Linked DNA regions of Mytilus edulis. The protein of the gene in region 1 interacts with the protein of each later gene in a pairwise test. Links are inferred from orthologs where the notes say so. Each region holds a gene or a part of one and is shown on either strand. Other genes may lie near its edges.

Region 1 (11,894 bases):
ATGAACAAAACCAATACCGCATAGCAAGCCATATGGTAACTTATAATAACTTTATTAAGTACAAATTACACCAATGAGAGGGTCAATGGCACAACAATTACTTGTATTTACAACAATATTATGATGAGCGACATTTACATTTTCATCTTTGAACCAAAATACTAAATACACATCAACAGATAAACTCAAGTTTATAAATAGTCTCGAATGTGACAAATTTTAATTTTTTCAATCCAGAAAACTATACTGATAAATCTGATAAAAGTGATTTATGTTCAAAACAAAACATGCACTAGAAACAAAACAGATATACAGCAAGTGCAAATAAAAGACAACCACCGTGTCTACATTATATAATCTAACTCCCTAGCTACTGACGAAGGCATATGTTGACTCTTCAGCCATATTTGGTCCCTGACTGACCAATAAACCCCATAACAAAAACAAACTGACAAAAACAAAACCCAAAGAACAAGAACAAAACCAAAATCAAAAGAACAAGATCAAGATCAAAGAACAAAAACAAAACCAAAAAACAAAACCAAAAAACAAATACAACTTAACGAATGTCTTAAAAGCTGTATTTTCTCCATCATTAAAATCAACTTACGCATTTCGTATTTATATATGATAGGTCTATATACATATATAAATATACGAGTCTAAATTGAAAACTACGTCCAAACCTATGATTGCGTTGAATAAAAACCGCAATTATTATACGTGTGCATGTAAAAACAAATTTCGTTGTAGAAGGGTCTAAAAGAACCTCTAAAATACAGCACAAACAACATGTTCCAAAAGACCAAAAAAGTGAAAAAGTATATTTAAACAAAACGCATTTGACTAACAGGTCGAACAACTGATGCTCTTAAACCCTGCTGACTGCCATTAAAATTGATCACGTGATGTAACAAAATGCTATAAATATATAAGTACGTCTGAGCCAGTGACAATATATATGATATCTATACTAAGCATATTAACTTTTTTGATACTATAGCAAACAGTGATAAGATTACGGATCTTTACAGATCTTTATACGTTTGCACTTTAAATACAAAACAGGACAATATCTCTCGATCACATTTCAATTTCATAAACATTATTTGCTCCCTAGATTCCTACCTTTCAGCAAAGTTTAGGATAGTATGGTCGACATATAATACACAAAACAAAGACAACAATGAAAATAGAGTGTACAAGAAGATCCACTTAAATAGCACTGAAAAAATGGAAATGATTTGAGCGCATATTAAACTTCCGCGGTTCATGAAGTTAGATTCATAACAAACCTGACATAGTTTTATAATATAGTTAATTGCTACCTCAGTTTTATATTAATAAGAATTAAAATGTGCTTTGTTATTAAATGCAATATCAGTATTTAGTTCAAATATATAATCTTAAATTAATCCTAATTCTAATGACGTCATTTTTTCGTCATTTTTTCATTTTTTGATGCTCTGTTTTACTAATTCTAATGACGTCATTTTTTCGTCATTTTTTCGTCATTTTTCAGTTTCAAATAGGACGTCACTTGGCGTAGAGGTTTATACGTATTCGGATGTGTCTACTTTTGTGTTTCAAATGTCTGGTTATGTAAATGTATTTCAGTTGTTTCCTGTAATTAGTTAATACTTCAGCTTTATCATGTACATCTTTTGAATATTCATTTTATTAAATTTACTGTTTGCAAAAGTATAAATTACTCTAAATTATAGGGATTTTCTGGTAACTTAACGGAAAACCCTTGCCGTTTTTGGCACAACCTTTTTGATCTTTTGGTCCTCGATGCTGTTCAACTTTGTACTCGTTTCGGCTTTCAAACTTTTGTATCTGTGCGTCACACATAGGTCTTGTGTGGACAAAATACACTTCTGGCGTATTAAAATTTTGAACTTGTTGCCTTTTGTTGGCTGTTGTTCGTGTGGTTCTTTGTCTATTGTGTTCTCCAATTTATTTATATTGTAGTCCTGTGTTGTCATTTTGATGTTATATTTCACATGGCCATAAAAGTGCGAGGTTTGGCATGCCACAAAACCAGGTTCAACCCACCATTTTTTCCTTTAAAAATGCCCTGTACCAAGTCAGGAATATGGTCATTGTTATATTATAGTTCGTTTCTGTGTGTATTACATTATAACGTTGTGTCGTTTGTTTTCTCTTATTTTTGAGTGTAAATTCACATTGCGATAAGACGTGTCACGGTACTTGTCTATCCCAAATTCATGTATTTGGTTTTGATGTTATATATATATGTTATATTTGTTTTTCTCGTGGGATTTTGTCTATATGTGTTACATTTTAGTGTTATGTCGTTGTTCTCCTCTTATATTTAATGCGTTTCCCTCGGTTTTAGTTTGTTATCCCGATTTTGTTTTTTGTCCATGGATTTATGAGTTTTGAACAGCGGTATACTACTGTTGCCTTTATTCATACACAAGTTTCACAAATTAGCCAAGACGTCAGCAACTATTGTACTCATCTATCACCCCTGCTTTCAATTAATAGTCTTAATTCCATTGTCCAAGAGGATCCTTCTTTTGAAGAAATTTATATTCCTCATAGCATTCCACAACCATTTGACACGGTTCGTAGAAATATAATTCATTGTTTAATCTTTTGGTGTATGATATTTTAAAATTTTCCAAATAATTCAGTCATAAAATAAAATTCCCATCACGCGGCGTAAAGCAAATCACTTTTATCCGATATAATTTAATCTATACATGTATATACATTAATGGCCTAGTTATGAGACACCAGGATGCTTCTCATTATAAATTCCCTTTTATTTGCACATGATTCTGTTTACTATATAGAAAGGGAACAGGAGCGAAACTTCTTTTGGTCCGCTCCCCCCACCCCCACCCCCTTTCCCCGCTTTTTTCGTATTTTATTTTTATTATATTATATAAAAAAATGTAAAATGGTTTAGTTAAACTCAAAAACTACAATAGTATTGGACTAAAGTAGATGTGTTTGTTGCTTATCAGATTCGGACGGTAACCCCCCCCCCCCCCTTTTTCGGTTCACTGACTTCTATGCTGAGCTCCTATACCTCTGTTCTTCTTTTAACAAACTCACTCTACAGAAGGTAAAACATGGTTAAGGTGATGTTTGTCAGTTCCACTTGGAAACTAAAAGTAAAATTCAACTTATAGGCAAATGGTAAAACTACTGATATAATTGTTTCAAATGTAATGATACGAATTTAAATTTTATTGAACAATCACTACGTTTGAGCGGACCCCCATCCCGTGGTAAAGTGCACTGCCGAACCAAGAGAACACAACACAGTAATATGTATGACAAAAAATGACACATAAAAGTGGCACTGCACGCGTTTGTGTTACTGTTTATAACTTTTTTATGCCCCATTTATGGGCATTATGTTTTCTGGTCTGTGCATTCGTTCGTCCGTCTGTCTGTCTGTCCCGCTTCAGGTTAAAGTTTTTGGTCGAGGTAGTTTTTGATGAAGTTGAACTTGAAACTTAGTGCACATGTTACCTATGATATGATCTTTCTAATGTTAATGCCAAAGTTCCAATGACAACTAGAGGCTCAGGCTAGAGGGTTCACGAAGATTAACACATGAGCAGAGACATGTACATATGTCGTGTACAATTTGTGATTTTGTACAGGTTATGAAATGTACAAAAATGTTGTACATGTTATAATTTGTACAATGCAAAAATACAAGTTATAACATGTACAAAAGTACCTCATACATGTTATACATGTACAAAATATTGCTTTAAAATGGTTTTAACTTGTACAAAATTTGAAAATAAAGATATGTTTCTATTATAACAACACATGCCACTAACCTCAATGATATTTTAATTATTTTTTGTTATTGTTCATTCATGTTAGTATGATACCTTTTTGATACAGATAGTTATTGACCAGATAAATAGTTTTTATGATGACATAATACCTTAAAGACTTTTTAAATTCACATGATGTAAATAATTAAGATTATTCGGTATTGTTACCTGGTATAAAACAGAAGAAGACTTAGAAGCAATATTTGAAGCAAGTTCTGTATCTAATAACACTGACATTGACCCTTTTTACCGAGACAGAACATAATACAGACACTTAAATAGAAACTGAAAACAATTTCAGAGACGGATATTATTACTGACACAAACATTGAAACTGATGATTAATTGAATGGTCATGATTCAGCAGACACCAATGAACGAACAAATGAGTTAGAAACAGAAACAATGGTAATGAAGTGATGCGAACATGGTTATTGAGGAAGTATCAGCATGCCATCTACTGGTATACTTCCTCGAAAGAGGGTGCTTTCTAGTGGTGATATTCCTGCTGTCAATACCAGTGAGGGTTTATCTGAAATTTCAAATACTGACATCAAGCGTGCACGAAAGGTGACCCTCACTGGCCAGCAGGTACAAGCCCAAGCCTTGACAAAAAACTCAAAAACTAGATAAACTGTTCTCTCCTTAGGCGATAATGTTATCATTCACATTCAGTCCATTGATATGGGCCCTGCATATATGCGAAAACATAACAGGCTTGGTGATGAATGTGAATGGACATATCATAGTGGCGGCTACAAAATTGGAACTGAAGACTTAGTTGGACAAATAAAGGGATACTTGAGTATAGACCCGGTTCAATTTCTTGCAAATGCAACTTCAAATGTGTCTGAAGTCCCAATAAGTGATATGAGTGTTAGAGAGATGGTCCGTAAGATATCCTAATTAAGTGTGTGGGGGCAAAGATTTGTGCATTGTTAGTGTAAAAAAACAGTTGTAGGTCTGGCAGGTGTAAATGTATAAGAGTGAAAGTTTTATGCAACTCAAACGTGTCACATATCTCTGTCTTGTAGCAAAAAGTAATAAGAAACTTGTTTCTAAAATGTATGAAAATGAAGTATTTTATGCATGCTGTAAATAATGAACCTTATTTTGCATTTGATTATTGTTCTTTATTATTTGAAAAAAATTCAATCGTGTAAATATATTCTGTTTTATCATTTTTAAATTTTGTACAGGTTGAAACCGTTTTTAAGCAATATTTTGTACATGTTATAACATGTACGAGCCGGAGGTACTTTTGTACATGTTATAACTTGTATTTTGGCATTGTACAAATTATAGCATGTACAATTTTTTGGATATGTTATAACCTGTACAAAATTGCAACTTGTACACGACATATACATATCTATCTCTGATATGAGACAGCTTTGTAAATTAAAAGGGTTTGACGTGAATGAGAACAGTGGTACAGCACACACTCCTTGGGGAAATCAAGGACGTATGTTAGTTATACGTCCTTGGGGAAATGGACCCATGAGACATATACTTCCATAGGCACTCGTCTCAGATCCCCCCCCCCCCTATATACCTTTATGTAAAGGTATATACAGATTTATTATTTTTCTGAGACGAGTGCCTGTATAGAACCTATATGATATTCTACACATAATCACGTTGTCTCAGCCGGAATGATTATTATCATGTTTGATTTATATGATCTTAATGATAGACTCATAATACCCATGCAATTCTGTTAAGAGCATTTATGAACGCATACAATTAGTTGAAATGTTGAGAAAGATTTACAAGAATAAATATGACACAAAGAAAAATACTTATATATATTGAAAAAAAAGGATAATCATGATGTATTATATATATGTTACTGTATTAAATATGCTGCTATTGAAAAAAATCGCATGAGTAAAACCATAGATGTCTACATCTATGGTAAAACCAAATTAAATTAGGAAAAATAAGTTTTAACATTTAAAAGAACTATCGACCCCTATTTCTATTTCTCTTGCAAATTTTATAACCCCATTTATGAAATGTTTGGACATCTATTTTGAAAATTTCCCGCTTAAAAGTTTGTATGTTCGGGTGTTCTCTAGATGATGTAAAATCTACTTGCAAAGAAGCGTGTTTGCGCATTAGTTTCATGTTTATTTAAATAAATTATGCATTTATAAGAAAAGTTTTCAAAGTTAAAGCATTTTCGAAATTGAAATCAGATTTAAATGTCAATAAACACTGTTAAAATCCAAGCCGATAAAATCCGAAAAGTCCGAAGCCATTTAAAAATGGAGACGATTGTAAAACATAACATTGTCATGCATGATCGCACATTAATTCTGATTGGTTGACAATTTGTATAAATACCTAATTCAACAAATTTGCATTCTCTTCTAGTCTAAACGTTCGTGGTGTTTGCATGAAGGAATAAATCGGGAAATTTGATGACAGAAAGGTTTATTGTTGAGGTAATTTTATGAATTGAATAAAAGAAACACTTGTAACAGTATCCTAAATTAACTTCAGCTTTAATTAAACAATAGCATCAGTATAATATTATTTTATTATTGTTTTTTCCTTCAGCCACAGCATCCGTTTTGGTTTGTTTACAAACGGAAAATTGCAATTATGCAATAAGATTCGATGTATATAATTAGTCACCTTGTAACTAATAACGGTAACGGATCAGCAGTAAAATGCATGCTATATATTTTCTAAACTATAAAAAATTAATGTTAAAAAGAAATTTATGTTGCCTTTGTTGGATTCAAGTCGCCGGTATCAAATCAATACAAGCGGAACTCGAGAGAATCAGGATGTTATTAAAATAGATTATGTAATAGAAAACAAATGTCATTTTTATGCTTTTTTTGAAGAAAATATTTTGTAATGGGTATTTTTATAAATTTCCAAGGTAAGGAAATTGTTTGTCAAAATTAATTAAACATGTTTAGCACAATACAATTTAATTAAGGAGTTTTTTTATACCTTGTTATATTATTTAATCTGACCAGTGCAGGAAATCGGACGTTCAAACTTGTCAGTTTTCAACCTTTGTAGCCTTTTAGCAACAGTTGTCAGTTTGCCCCCCCCCCCCCCCCCCCCAAAAAAAAGATGATTTATAATTAGATCCATTGATTGTGTGTGTTAAAATTGTGTTAATCACTATTTTTTGTCAAAAAGGTATTTTAGTTATAGCTGAAATTGAGAAAGGATTGATTTATTAGATTTCAATTAAAATCTTAATCAATATATATATACACACATGTTTAAATTCCATTCAAAATTGATTCCCTGTTAGTTCAATCTTGTTTTTGTTTTTTTTAATTTCAACAAAAATGACTTTTTTTTTTTATTAAAATGTAATTTGTTATGTTGAATCTAGTGGTATTTAGATTTCTGATTTTAGGCAGAGTTGTCATTTTGGTCCATATTAAGGGGGTCTCATTGGGGGGTTCAGATCCCGGATCCCGCTTACTGTTTTGTCAGATTCCCGTATCCCGCTTACACTATGTACGTAAGCAATTCACATTTTTTTGTCATTTCCTGGGTCCCGCTAGACCTCATTTCCTGTTTTCCCGACACAATAATTTGACTTTCACGTGTCACGCTTACAAAAAATTGGCAATCCCGCGTCACGCTTAGACCCCAATGAAACCCACTATTAAGGTCCAAAGTGTCCAATAGTAACTTAACATAATTTTGATTTTGATAAAAAATGAATTCTTGTAATTCTTCAATATGTTGAATTTTAACATGAATTTAGATTTTTAAACGTCCATCTACAGAACATATTATGTTATACCATTTGTCTGCCATCAATATATTGGAAATATCAGTGGCGGATCCAGAACATTTCCTAAGGGGGGGCCCACTGACGGACCTAAGGGGGGGGGGGCCACTCCAGTCATGCTTCAATGATTCCCTATATAATCAACCAAATTTTTCCCACAAAAGGGGGGGCCATACCCCCCCCCCCCCCCCCTGGATCCGCCTATGCATATTTAACTCTAAAACAATTACCCATTTTGCATAAAACTTTGGTGAATTGTATATATCTATTGATCAATTGACATGAGCACACTTTCGTTTTTCCTAAATTTTAGATTTTCCGTTTCAGAGAAATGTTTTTTTTCCAGTTTTCCGACCATAACTCAAAAGTGTTTTTTAATTTGCAAGAAACTTTGGTCAATTGTTCTTATCGGACAGCACAAATATTTTGGGGTTCGTATAATGCTATGATTTCGTTCTCGGTCTGCATCGTAGCCCGATGACACATTTGGTTTCTGGACAATAACCTTAGTTTAAGGGCAAATGATACAGTTACAGGAGAGGTAATGACATTGCTAACGTAAATTGTTATTTTCGCGACGTCAAACTATGACTTATCGGGAAAAGATTCAGTTTTCAACTGATTTTTATCATTCAAACTTATTACACTTGAAAACGAGTTCATGGACCCCTCTTTTTAGCTCACCTGGCCCGAAGGGCCAAGTGAGCTTTTCTCATCACTTGGCGTCCGTCGTCCGTCGTCCGTCGTCCGTCGTCCGTCGTCCGTCGTCGTCGTCGTCGTTAACTTTTACAAAAATCTTCTCCTCTGAAACTACTGGGCCAAATCAAACCAAACTTGGCCACAATCATCATTGGGGTATCTAGTTTAAAAAATGTGTGGCGTGACCCGGTCAACCAACCAAGATGGCCGCCACGGCTAAAAATAGAACATAGGGGTAAAATGCAGTTTTTGGCTTATAACTCAAAAACCAAAGCATTTAGAGCAAATCTGACATGGAGTAAAAATGTTTATCAGGTCAAGATCTATCTGCCCTGAAATTTTCAGATGAATCGGTCAATCGGTTGTTGGGTTGCTGCCCCTGAATTGGTAATTTTGAGGAAATTTTGCTGTTTTTGGTTATTATCTTGAATATTATTATAGATAGAGATAAACTGTAAACAGCAATAATGTTCAGCAAAGTAAGATCTACAAATAAGTCAACATGACCAAAATGGTCAGTTGACCCGTTTAGGAGTTATTGCCCTTTATAGTCAATTTTTAACCATTTTTCGTAAATTAAAGTAATCTTTTACAAAAATCTTCTCCTCTGAAACCACTGGGCCAAATTAATTCAAACTTGGCCACAATCATCTTTGGGGTATCTAGTTTAAAAAATGTGTGGCGTGACCTGGTCAACCAACCAAGATGGCCGCCACCGCTAAAAATAGAACATAGGGGTAAAATGCAGTTTTTGGCTTATAACTCAAAAACCAAAGCATTTTGAGGAAATCTGACATGGGGATATAAATGTTTATCAGGTCAAGATCTATCTGCCCTGAAATTTTCAGATGAATCGGTCAATCGGTTGTTGGGTTGCTGCCCCTGAATTGGTAATTTTGAGGAAATTTTGCTGTTTTTTGTTATTATCTTGAATATTATTATAGATAGAGATAAATTGTAAACAGCTATAATGTTCAGCAAAGTAAGATCTACAAATAAGTCAACATGACCAAAATGGTCAGTTGACCCCTTTAGGAGTTATTGCCCTTTATAGTCAATTTTTAACCATTTTTCATAAATCTAAGTAATCTTTTACAAAATCTCCACTGAAACTACTAGGCCACAATCATCTTTGGGGTATCTAGTTTGAAAAATGTGTCCGATGACCTGGCCATTCAACCAAGATGGCCGCCACGGCTAAAAATAGAACATAGGGGGTAAAATGCAGTTTCTGGCTTATAACTATGAAACCAAAGCATCTAGAGCAAATCTGACAAGAAGTTAAATTGTTAATCAAGTCAATATCTATCTGCCCTGAATTTTTCAGATGAATTGGACAACTGGTTGTTGGGTTGCTGCCCTCCAATTGGTAATTTTTAAAGAAATTTTGCCGTTTTTGGTTATCTTGAATACTATTATAGATAGCGATAAACTGTAAACAGCAATAATGTTCAGCAAAGTAAGATCTACAAATAAGTCAACATGACCTAAATGGTCAATTGACCCCTTAAGGAGTTATTGCCCTTTATAGTCAATTTTTAACAATTTTCATTAATTTGGTAAATTTATGTAAATTTTTACCAAATATAGTTCTCTGTTACTAATGGGCAAAGTTCATTATAGATATAGTTGTAAGAAGCAAAATCATTCAGTAAAGTAAGAACTTCAAACACATCACCATCACCAAAATACAATTTTGTCATGAATCCATTTGTGTCCTTTGTTTAATATGCACATAGACCAAGGTGAGCGACACAGGCTCTTTAGAGCCTCTAGTTTAAAATGCCATTTGATTTGATTACGCGAGAAGATTATGTGTGCCAATTTTCATGAAAACGTAAATAGTGCAATTTTTATACGACCGCAAAATTTGAAAAATTTTTCGTCGTATATTGCTATCACGTTGGCGTCGGCGTCGGCGTCGTCGTCGTCGTCGTCGTCTGGCGTCCGAATACTTTTAGTTTTCGCACTCTAACTTTAGTAAAAGTGAATGGAAATCTATGAAATTTTAACACAAGGTTTATGACCACAAAAGGAAGGTTGGTATTGATTTTGGGAGTTTTGGTCCCAACATTTTAGGAATTAGGGGCCAAAAAGGGCCCAAATAAGCATTTTCTTGGTTTTCGCACAATAACTTTAGTATAAGTAAATAGAAATCAATGAAATTTTAGCACAAGGTTTATGACCACAAAAGGAAGGTTGGTATTGATTTTGGGAGATGAGGTCCCAACAGTTTAGGAATTGGGGGCCAAAAAGGGACCCAAATAAGCATTTTTCTTGGTTTTCGCACCATAACGTTAGTATAAGTAAATAGAAATCTATGAAATTTAAACACGAGGTTTATGACCATAAAAGGAAGGTTGGGTTTGATTTTGGGAGTTTTGGTCCTAACAGTTTAGGAATAAGGGGCCCAAAGGGTCCAAAATTGAAATTTGTGTGATTTCATCAAAAATTGAATAATTGGGGTTCTTTGATATGCCGAATCTAACTATGTATGTAGATTCTTAATTTTTGGTCCCGTTTTCAAATTGGTCTACATTAAGGTCCAAAGGGTCCAAAATTAAACTTAGTTTGATTTTAACAAAAATTGAATCCTTGGGGTTCTTTGATATGCTGAATTTAAAAATGTACTTAGATTTTTAATTATTGGCCTAGTTTTCAAGTTGGTCCAAATGGGGGTCCAAAATTAAACTTTGTTTGATTTCTTCAAAAATTGAATAAATGGGTTCTTTGATATGCCAAATCTAACTGTGTATGTAGATTCTTAATTTTTGGTCCAGTTTTCAAATTGGTCTACATTAAGGTCCAAAGGGTCCAAATTAAACTAAGTTTGATTTTAACAAAAATTAAATTCTTGGGCTTATTTGATATGCTTTATCTAAATATGTACTTTGATTTTTGATTATGGGCCCAGTTTTCAAGTTGGTCCAAATCAGGATTCCATATCAAGTATTGTGCAATAGCAAGAAATTTTCAATTGCACAGTATTGCACAATAGCAAGAAATATCTAATTGCACAATATTGTGCAATAGCAATTAATTTTCAATTGGAGTTATCTTTCTTTGTATAGAATAGTAGTTGATAATATATGTTGGAAATTTGCCAGACATGACTATGATGTCATTTTCTATTTTTATTTGCCAATAACTTTATGTAAATAACTTCATTGGAAATTTGCCAATATAAAATGTTGCTGATGAAGCTTTTTTTCCTTATCTTATCTAAAATGTTTTAGATAATGTATGTTGGAAATTTGCCAGACATGACTATGATGTCATTTTCTATTTTTATTTGCCAATAACTTTATGTAAATAACTTCATTGGAAATTTGCCAATATAAAATGTTGCTGATGAAGTTTTTTTTATTGTTTTATACAATAAACAATGTATATTCACTTTTACTACCAACCAATCTTTACCATTCAGTGATAACAAGCACTTTATTTTACATTTTAATATTTTATGATGTATTTAAAAGAGTAGTTATTGTTGCAAACTCCATTAGAAATTTGAATTGATATCAGTTTTGGAAAAAGGGAAACGGGGATGTGAAAAAAGGGGGGGGGGGTTAAATTTTTCTCATTTC
Region 2 (11,805 bases), on another chromosome or scaffold:
CTTCTTGTCAAAACTGTCATTAAATCCTCCATCTCTGTTATTGTCCAACATCATGAACATATTCAACAATAATTACTAACTGTTGTTTCAATAAATTATTGAGAAAATAAACACCACATGCATGGTCAATAAAGAACTACAGAAATATCTTAAAATTAACATTTATTACATGTATATATAAATATAGTTTCTGAGTGCAAGAGGCACAAGAAATATATGTATAATAGGAAACTTGAACAACTTAAAAAAAACACCAACTGTATTATCATGATTATATTGGTGCCAGAAGCTGGTGCCTGAGGAAAGAACTACAGACTTTAGCATGAAAACTGACAACACTGGCCAATATTAAAGTCTAATGCACTTGCCATATTGATAGGCTGGTAATACCGTCTATGAATTACATGTACTGAGACCATTTGCCACCAAGGCCCTGTAAGAAAAATTATCAACCAAACAAATAATACAACTACCCGGTAATCTTTTAGCTTCTGATAACATGACTTAAAGATTCCATGTTTAGTCATTTAACTTACAGTTTATAGGTCTTTGGTAGATCCCTTGTGTGTATAGAAAATCCTTGACTCAACCTTGTATCTGATGCTATTATGGAAAAATCTTCACCAGCAACTGCTAACACTGTCCTGAAAAAAGTGATTTCATCATCAATGGCAGTTTTCTTATATTTTTAATGATTGGATTATTCCCCTTTGTTTTTTATTGAAAAAAATGGTGGAACAGTGTTTTTTAATCAAACAAAGTCATTTGGTGAATTTCATTAAACAGCTGTCATATTCAGGTTTGTGAACATAAGGACTTATCAGACAATTAATTTCTTTTATACGCAACTCTTAACTTCTATCTTAAGCTATCTGTAACCGAAAATAACCGTTTGAAGCCTGACTGTAAAGAACATTCATACCCTCATTAAATAATTTATGGTCAGTGCTCAAACTAATTTCTTTTCAAAAGTACTCTTAACTTCACTATAACACAGGTTCAGGTAATGTTTCATTTAAGATGGGTACGTTACAGACTGTTGTATTCATTGGGGGTACTTTTATCCTGTTCATGAAAAATAACAGTAAAAATTCTTGGCAAATGACTTGAACGTTAATTTTTGGTGCATTTCAGTCAATTAAATAAATAATTTCTTTAGACAATAAAAGTGAACTGATTTTGACAAATCACATTATTCTTTTTTCCGAAAAATAACGAGAATTATTTGAGAGTTCTGACAAATCAGGATCAGGTTATTTGACAAATCATAGTTAAACTTTAACCAATTTGACACTAACTGTATAACGTAGCAGAAAATAGTAGTTTAAAGTAAGGATCTGGAAATTTTTCCATACAATTTTGGTCATTTTGAGATGATTGAAAAGACTTCAGCTGGTGCCCCTTTTCAACTTGACTAGATTCATAGAATTGACAAACTTGTATTGCTGTTTCATTGCATTTACAAAGTAAATGTCTTACCATTTCCTTCGAGAACAGTATAGGGAAGGCAACAGTTTAAAATTGAAATGGTTTTAATGACTAAAACTGGTTAATTTCCAGACACTGCTTACGTTTGTTTCGGTTTGACTAAATTAAAACCGGACGTTTTGCGATCAAATTAAAGTACATGTACAATAGTTCTGGATTCATTTCTGGATTAGTTTTGTTTATCAAATTGACAGGAAATCACCGACTTTTTATTGTTATTTAACTCAGGCCTCTACAATAACTTTTTTTTCAACTTGTCCAATAGGACAAGTACATACCAAAACTTACTTGTCCGAATGAAATTGAAACTTGTCCCAAAAAATATTAAGAATAACCTTTTTTGCATAATAAGTAGATTCAAGGAACAAAATAACTAAAACAATAGAACAGAAGTTGATTCCACAGTGTTTGATTCATACATATTATGTATCTTTTGAAATACTTTTAAAAAATATGAGTCGGAACAACTGAATCTAGTTTTGTCACAGGTTCTAGTTTTCATAAATGCCAAAGTCTTATAAGACTAGGCAGATGATCAGGAACCGTCTGATAGGCCTGTCAATGTTTTTTTTAACTTGAAAAGTGTATTTAAATGCAATCAATAAACAAGAATGTGTCCATAGTACACGGATGCCCCACTCGCACTTTCATTTTCTATGTTCAGTGGACCGTGAAATTAGGATAAAAACTCTTATTTGGCATTAAAATTGAAAGATCATATCATAGGGAACATCTTTACTAAGTTTCAAGTTGATTGGACTTCAACTTCATCAAAAACTACCTTGACCAAAAACTTTAACCTGAAGTGAGACGAACGGACGCACAGATGAACGGACGAACAGACAGACGGACGAACAAAAGTACATCATGTACATACCAGAAAACATAATGGCCCTCTACTATCGTAGGTGGGGCATACAAAAATGAAGATGACTTATGATTGAGGGTTTGGATGGGGTTAAATGATTAAAGAATAATGCCCTTAAAAAATGAAGATTAGAGAAAAAAGGGGTACATTTTTTGAAGATTAGAGAAAAAAGGGGTTAATTTTTTAAAGATTATAAAAAAAAAGGGTCGAAATTAAATGTTTACAGAATAACAGACCCCCCCCCCCCCCCCATCCAGACCCTCATGATTGCCAATGAGACAACTCTCTGCAAGAAATTAACAACTATAGGTCACCGTATTGCAAGTATTGTTTTTTACTACATAGGATCAAATATGATTTAGTGAATTTTGTGGTACACAATTTCTTCATTCATATATATGTAAAAAAGTATTTTTGTTGAAAAAAATACCGGTATAATTTATTTTAAAGCAACAGAATAAGGTAGAAAAATGATGTTCATATTTGTCTTGGTCCGGGTATGTTACCAAACTGTCTATTAATCACGACTATTAAATATGTCTTGTACGGTGCCAAATTGTCTATTAAAGTTGGAGCCGAACCGTTTCAGCTAGTGATGAACTGTCTTGTAAAGTTACCTCATCTGCAAAGCGCCGCTGATTCGAATCAGTAAGACTGGTTTACGAGAATAGTATGTCTTTTACCTGTTAAAAAGTACCTGACAAAGAACCAGTTTTAAATATTCGATTGCAAGTAAACATGTAAAATTAAAACTTTATTTTTCTCTTCTCTTCTTGTTTTATTGATTATAATTACTACATGTACGTTCATCAAATTTATTGTCTGCAGAATAATTTTACTTGTCCCATCGGACAAGCTTGATATAGCTTTTACTTGTCCGACCTTTTTTTGCTCTGGTACCGGACAATCGGACAAGCGTTATTGTCGAGGCCTGTAACTTAATTACCTTTAAAAGTGTTTGAATACAACATGTACAACAGATAATAGTTGCACTCATTAAATTTAACGTGAATTCAATAGACCACTTTCGAGTTCATCCGTCACCGGAAAAAACTCGTCAATTATACCCGCCTTTATGACGTCATTTATCAGATAGAGGGGGTCGCCTGTATCCCTGCACTATTTACGTTCATCAAGCGTCTTAGTGATAGTCATTGTGCAGGATAAACAAGAAAAAATGGTTGTTCTGTAGGTACTTAATGACAATTCCCTAATGACAGCAATGCTGATTGTCAATTTTGAGAATTCAATTTGCCGAATAATTCGTACAATAAGGAATTATAGTTTTCCAACCAATCGCTCAACATTGGAACGGAAGTGACGACGCCCCTAAACGCACAAATGACGTTCACTAAAACCAGAGTTTTTGATGGAAATGCATCTAACTCGAAAGTTGTCTATTTGCATTTTAATATTAAATTTGCTGAAATCAATTTCTTGCATGTGATACATACATGTATGAAAAAATCTTTTTTCTATGTAAATTAAAGTATAATTTTAAAATCAGAATTGATAGCCCCACAGGACGCAATTACGACTGGACACAATTACGAACGATTTCCAATGTTTGCCCTCTGAGATCATATTTGTTTATATTTATCAATAAATGTTTCTATAAATAAAAACCCTATTAAAAATCCCTTGTTTTCATGATAATACAATTTATGGGCACTTGGTAAATGTTGATGACGATGACAAAATCATTCTGAAAATATTATAAGAACGGCAATCTGACCTGGAAGTTATGTAAAAAAATACATAAAGGTAAGTGCATATTGCCTTCTTTTGTTAATATATAGAAAGAAAAATATCTCCTGATTCTGTTCATATGCGTGATGCCTTTTATCATGCCCAAATAACCGCACAATTGACGTTTTTTAGACTCTTCAGTCTTGTGAACCTATTTATGGCCAAAAGAAAATATGTTAATTTTATTGAAAAGTCCAGAGAACTCCGAAAGAAATGTTGACCAATATAAAAAAAATCGTAGATGAATGACAAGTACACCACCGAAATGGATAAACTTGAATTTAGTGCTCCTTTAAAGGAGGAACTTACACAAAAAAAAAAAAAATCAGAAATCTTTCCTTTACACATGACCGACATTTCGTCTGCAACCACTGCTGAAGTATATTGAAGTAAAAAACAAACTTGTGCTTTTTATTTTCCTATGAAAATGAGTTTGAGATAAAGATTAATGTATGCTTTATCAATATAGACTGTTGTCATTGATTTCTTCTGCAAGATATATCAATGTAGTGCTGTTCGGAATTGCGTCCATATGTGGCTCTCTTGACCCGTAAAACGAGGTCACGCAAATCTTACTAAAGTAACCCAACGTGCATAAAAATTTATGTGGGATATGATGCAAAATGGAAAGCCTTCATACATCTTAAATTCTATGGTATAAAAAATTCAAGAAAAGTAGTCTACATAAAAACAATATTAATCACAGTTCAAAAATCGTTCGTAATTGTGTCCGGTGAGGCTAATTGTCTTTGACGAAAAATAATTAAATAATGATTTGACTTGTTTACAATCCCTATATCTGGATTCCGGTTGAGGCATGAACAACTGGATGATACCACCAAAATCAGGATACGTAGATTGCAGGTCTGAGTGGTGCTAGTAACATTATGGTGTACTCCCAATGTATAACTTGGTCATGACAACGTTACTCTTATGTTGAAACTTGTAACCATGTAAATAAAATCAGCAAATGGACAGACAAGGGGCTTGCTTACAACAACGCCTTGTTCTCAGGTTGATAGCTGTTTCATTGCTAATAAAATGATTGTTTCAAAGAACATAGTTATGTGAAAATGACTTGAATGTGCATCATTTCAGTGATTTACTTTCTAATATATATGTGAATTTTACATGAGAGAAAATATAATACCCTCCATTCTGTTCATAGGGATTGAAGTATGCTTGTTTAGGAGCATAATGTGACTCCTCCTGATTTATATGACTGAGTACAGATGTCATTTTCAAGTTGTCTGCTGTGTATGACAGTGCTATTTTCACTTTACAAATTATGATCTCGTTGAAGTCACGTGACAACAAAGACCGGCTATGCAAAATCTACTTTTTCTGTTCTTTTAAGAAAATTTTCTGATTGTCATTATAAATTTTGGAAACATCAAATACAAAGAAATATTATGGCTGATATATTTATGAATAAAGATTGTCCTTATTTTTCATTGTAGTGAAATCTCCTTCATGACGAGATAAAAATCCAAAATGGTGGGTAAAAGCATGAATGAAAATTTTACATTTTGATTTTCATTTAATAACGTTCATCTTTCAATTTCTAAGCTGTGCCAGCCCATCAGCTCTATTTGACACTATAAAGTGTATAGGAGGAGTTGTGTTGAAAGTCTATCCATGGCCTCAAGTTGTTTATTTTACTATTTTCTGCTTTATAAAATTCGGGTGTCACTTTGGTGATTAGTCCAAATAATTATGACGTCTTGAAAGGCTATTATAATTTTTTTCTTTGACGCCTTACATCGACGTCGATGTAAGGCGTCAAAGAAAAAAATTATAATAGCCTTTCAAGACGTCATAATTATTTGGACTATATGGTGATGAGCGTCACGCATTCACTAATTAATTCCAACTACCCCACAACTTTTAGTTCGACACTGCAATAGCCCGACGACCTATAAGTCTGACACAGGTCGTGTAAGAACATCTTCTTCATGGAAGCAGGACAAATCGCGCCACTTTTTCACCAACTCGCCCCATTTAAAAAAAATTCTCGCCTCAAACTAGTTTACCAACTCGCCCCACTTGTGAAAACAGTTAAATCCCGTTATTTTTTTTCAGGGAAACTCGCCCCACTTATTAATGAAAAAGGTAAAATCTAGATGAATATATAATTTTCTGGTCTACCACCTCGCCCCACTTAAAAACGACTAGTATGAGGGGGCATGACTCGATTCACTAGGGCTTTTCTATTTTACACAAGTGGGGCTAGTTGGCATTCACGTCTCGGAAATACTGATACTCATTTATTTCTTCTTTATTTCAACAAAAAGAAAAGAACTACAAAATAGATATATAATTAGATGGGTATGAGTGCCTATGAGACAGCACTTCATTCAAGTCACAATTAAAGGCCCCAAAACGACAAGTGTAAAACCATTCAAATGAGAAAAGCATGTTTATCTAAGGTTTGCATAGGTATTGATTTTAATTATGAGTGCGTTAGGAACATAGATATATACAACGGGATTACATCTTTTGCATCAAGTGGGATGACTTTGCATTATTATATTCATCAGGATTTACCTATTTTTCACAAGTCATTATGAATTTTGGAAACATCAAATACAAAGAAATATTATGGCTGATATATTTATGAATAAAGAGTTGCATTTGGCAGACCTTATTTCAGAGGGAATTTTACCCTTTTCATATAAGGAGCAAAGTTATCCAACATATTTTCAAAGGGAATTGCCCTTTTTCATAAGTAAGGCGAGTTGGTAAACAAAAGAGGGGCGAATTTTTCAGAAAGTGGGACAAGTTAGTTAAAAAGTGGAGCGATTAGGTGTGGGGTGATTTGCCAGTGGGGTGATTAGTCATGGATTCTTATTCATAGATTTCCAATAGACAATCCCCGAGGTATTGACTAAACATCTTATCCCTTTTGTTTCATTACTGGACATCCCTCAGGGTTCCTTTAAAATTTTGACCTCATAATACAAAATATCTGACAGTAATGTGCTATTGCTTACATCCTTCTCATTTGCTGTCAGACTCAGAGCTTATTAAAACTGGAGAAAATTGTCTCATTGGCAAATTCAAATCACATTTCCATAATTTAAATTGAATCAAAATATGAATGAATTTATACATGTTAATCATGTTTATTTTTTCTGATTTCAGTTGTTTTACTCTTTCTTCAAATCTTTAGTTGGTAAAGATGTTGTTGTGGAACTAAAGAATGATTTGAGGTAAGAAGCCAAGAATAATAAAGACAGATACTAAAGTTGCTTACATTCACAAGATTTGGTCTAACAAATCATGTAGGTGGAAACTTGTCTTATTATTTTTATCATGTTAATAAACATCCCAGGCCCTAATTACAAATGTACAAACTGGTTGGTGAACTGCATTCATCTTTTGCTTTGTCCATAGCCTTTGTTTCATATTTCTTTTCAGAATTATTGGAAAATTTGATATTTGGTCTTGATCTTAATAATGAACTTGTAATGATGAGCCTCTTTCTGCATGTTGATGTATTTGACAAAACTTCAAATACTTTGTTGTTCCAGTTAAGCACAGCATTTCTAAGACAGTAGTCTGAAGTACAGGAACAATAATAGAACTAAACATAACTGCATAAAAACACATGAGCATTAGCTTTAATGAAGAACAGGAACTATATTCCAAAATTGAGATTTTATACACCATTTAGTATTAAATTATTTGTCCATACCTATACTATGTTTTGTAATATTTTTCATGTATAGTTTTGCTTTAAATGTTATTTATTTTGTAGCATATGTGGTACATTACATTCAGTAGATCAGTTCCTGAATATTAAATTAACAGACATACAGGTGACAGATCCAGATAAATATCCACATATGGTAGGTCTTTTCTTATCAGTTAGTAAATAATTACACTTTACATCTATATTGCTGATCAAGTGTCTGAATAATACCCAGAAAGTGTTCAATCATGATTGCCTAAATCAGACCAAAAGTTGCACAAAAGAGCTCAAGGCTGGAGATACTGAGGAGACAAAAAGCATAATTCAAAAAATGATACACTTAAGATGATGATTTATAATTATGATACTATTTACTGAGAACATTAGATTATAAGCAGTACATGTATTAAAGTTAATTTACACATCCAAATCAAAACAAGAAAAAAACGTTTGATATATAAATAGACATATGTACTTTTGGGGAAAAGTGTCTGATTTGTTAGTTTTAATTGAAGGGTACTTTTTGAGTGAATCTTGAAATTCATAGAAAACTGTAACTTGTTTACTTTGATATCTTTAATAATTATATATACAATAAGTAAGATATAAGTAATGTAACAGAAAATTGTCAGTATAAAATGAATTGTTAATAGTAACATGCTCTGTTTTTCAGTTATCAGTGAAGAATTGTTTTATTAGAGGTTCAGTAGTTAGATATGTACAGTTACCTGCAGATGAATGTGATACACAATTGTTACAAGATGCAGCAAGAAAAGAGGCAGCTCAGAATAGACAGAGATGAATAAGCAGTTGTATTTATTGGTGCAATAACTATGTAACATTGTTTTTATGAGATGGAATTCACAGGAACAATTCTATCAGAAGTCCTGACTCAGAGTTCTGAAACCTCAGGAACTATTTGTGAATAATATTTTATACCGACTTGTATTAACGACTGTGTTGATGGAAAAGATCTATTTTGTAGTGATGTAGGTCAACACGTCTGGTTTTGAAACCAGATATACTTTGTATCTTGAAAATAATTATTGACAAGTATGAAAGTTCAAAATAAAATGCTGTTTTATAAATCAATATTGGTTTTTTTAATACAGAGAATGAATCTCATATTTCAACATTGATCAAGATACTTTTCATTTTTCTTTTGTAATTTGTAAGTAATAAGAAATCATTCAACATATACCAACGTGATAAATTTGAGGATTGCATTCTGCACTAACATCCTATTTTTTTTTTTTTTTTTTTTTTTTAATGCATTCCATCAACTTATAGCCAGTTTAAAAGTCCTTGTAAAAGATATATTTGTGTGTAATTGATAATAGTATTTTATAGTGAGGAAAACATATTGTTGATTTTGTATTAAGCCAAATTTCTCTATCAAAACTTCACAATTATGAAAAGAGGGAAGAGAAAGATTTCTTTTGTATCATAAATGTATTTTTAAAGATCAATCATATTCAAAGATGTATCAAATTTCATATCAAACATAAAGTTTAAATTAATTTGGTATTGTTGACTTATGTTTTATATTATATAGGAATAAAAAGATATGAGGTACACATTTCTACAACTGCAAACCAACAGCACAAAATCTATAAAAGATATTTTGATGTCAACATTGGGTCTTCAACAATAGACAAGTGTCTTTACTATTATGTATTTGTTGAACTCTAAAAAAAAAAATCCAACGTATAGACATCACAAAATTTGCATACAGCACCATAGTATGTACTCTTCTCTTTTACTCCTCAATCAATTAGTATTTTGGATTGTTCCACAAAACATACAAGTTTGATAGGAAAGATTTCTCATATACAGGTTCATTGTTTCATTTTTATGGTGATGGAGGATTTAAAAAAAAAATTAAAATGCTTACTTCAGCAAATGACCTACTAATGTGTATTTAAGATGCAGTTTAGCCATAGGCAAGGGATGCACTCTCTTCTGTAACCCAGGAATGATTGATCAATGGAATTGTGTTCTACTAATTCATCCTGATGAATCACTAAATTGTAAAATTCAACATTGTAAGAAGCATTTGGGAATTTTTAGTCGATTCTTTCCCTCTGTCTTTGTTTAAATTAGAAAAATGTGATCATTGTAAATGAATTATCACTAGCTAAATGGTTCTATCTTAGTTAATTAAGAAACTTGTGTTGCTTTATGCAAGTAAGTAGAAAATGGCTGGTTTTCAAAAAACTAACCATGGGCAGATCCAGGGGAGGGTTCCATGTTATTTTTGGACAATCAATGCATTTGAATGGGGACATATGGTTGGAACCCCCTTTTTCCTAGGTTGAGGACCCCCTTTTTCAAATGGCTGAATCTTCCCCTGCTAACTATAATTTTAATTTTCCTCTGCAACAAATGCTTCAACGTTTATGGTGACCCCACTAACATTCCAAAGAAGTACATCTATTCACCAGAAATCCTTCGAGGCTTAGAACACTTTAGTCTTTGTGAGAATATTGCATTACTTCCCCTGATTGTGAAAGTTTATTCTCAGCAGTTGAAAAGATCCAGACATATATTATGCCTTCTTTAGAAAAAGTAAATGCATACTTTCTCCTTTCTGTGAAAATCTGCAAGAATAGTTACAACACCTTGTGTTACAGCATTCCACAATTGAGAGAGCAATGCAAACTTGATAAATGTGTTTTATTTGTCAAAATATGGAAAAGGTTTACAGTCAGTCATTCCTATCCAAAAAAAAGATTTTGCTGTGATGCTTTGTACCTTTCTTCTACACAAAAAAAAACAAGATTACAGGAATTGTGCAACAAAACAAATTCATCATAAATTGTAAGAAAAAAATAAGAGATCTGACACTACTGGTACAATCTAGAGGGGAACCATGAAACACGAGAACACTGAAAGTTTTAACCGTTAGAATTGTTGCATAAACACCCCATAGAGATTTTAAAAAGTTGGCAGGTTTTTTTTTTATAAAATATAGAAGAATAATTATCCAGCAAAAATATAAAAATTAAGATCGATTTATTGATTGTCAGTTTTCTAAGGTCCAGTGGCAAAGTTTCATGCATGTTCAGAAAGACAAGAATTGGAAGCTAAAGAGAACTAACAAAGAGACCAAAGGACAAGGATATATATCAACTATAGGACAATATATGGTCTTCAATAATGAGAAAAAGCCATACCATATAGTAGCCTATAAAAGGCACCAGTATGACAAAATGGGAAACGAATAAACAAGAGAAAACCAATTACCTAATAAAACTATAGAAAGGAAAAATAAGAGAGACATCAACCACTGTGTTAAAGGCTGCTAACTTGAGACAGGCACATAAAAAATGTGTGGGAAAAGGAAGACATTTCCAACTAATCAATAAACCAAGTTTTCCAAGAATAAGAATTCAATCAGTACAAAGCAAATGAAAATCGTATAAAGACTTCATAAACGATAAGAAAAGCATGATGGCGAAATTTCAAAATATTAGTATCGATATGGTGTCGACCAAATTTTGTTTCCACTATCTAAGCCAATCAATTTTAGTAATGTTTCCATTTTTTGAAGAAGAAAAAAACTCAAGGTTTGTACCATGAAGTCAATATTCAAAGAATTTACTACACGGTCATAATATTAAATTCATTCAAATGAGCTAAATTATAGCATTGATCATATCTAATTTCAGAGGCTCTATAAACAACATCACCGTAAACAAATATTTTCTCTATTGTTTACCTGGGGACAAAATGTTCTGGTATCATTTACCTGTCAGTGAATATTTTTAAATATGATTTTGTGGTTTGTCCGGGATAACTTTCAAAAAATCTTTCATGGACTTTGGTAAATTAAGAGGTAGCTGGGAAGGGTTGATATCTCACAAAACATGTTTAACTCCGCCACATGTTTGCACCTGTCCAAGTCAGGAGCCTTTATAAGTCTTGTATGATTTTTAATTTTAGTTTATTTATATACATATTTCGGCGTTTAGTGTGACGTCCATTATCCCTAACTAGTACATAT

Evidence for each region.
Region 2: the proteins of methylenetetrahydrofolate reductase (NADPH)-like (region 1) and proteasome subunit beta type-1-B-like interact in a two-hybrid assay, tested with the Caenorhabditis elegans proteins (3 studies listed by BioGRID). The link is inferred for Mytilus edulis from reciprocal best matches to the Caenorhabditis elegans genes mthf-1 and pbs-6.

The regions. Positions count from the first base shown.
Region 1 is NC_092356.1:31,714,871-31,726,764, reverse strand, and holds the start of methylenetetrahydrofolate reductase (NADPH)-like, read left to right. Parts: upstream 1-6,203; 5' UTR 6,204-6,283; intron 6,284-11,894.
Region 2 is NC_092345.1:55,905,670-55,917,474, reverse strand, and holds the start of proteasome subunit beta type-1-B-like, read right to left. Parts: upstream 5,416-11,805; 5' UTR 5,345-5,415; coding exon 5,256-5,344; intron 645-5,255; coding exon 537-644; intron 1-536. Other genes in the region: U6 snRNA-associated Sm-like protein LSm2, read left to right, coding at 5,600-5,602, 7,250-7,317, 7,866-7,956, 8,473-8,601. UniProt on the Caenorhabditis elegans protein: Non-catalytic component of the proteasome, a multicatalytic proteinase complex which is characterized by its ability to cleave peptides with Arg, Phe, Tyr, Leu, and Glu adjacent to the leaving group at neutral or slightly basic pH.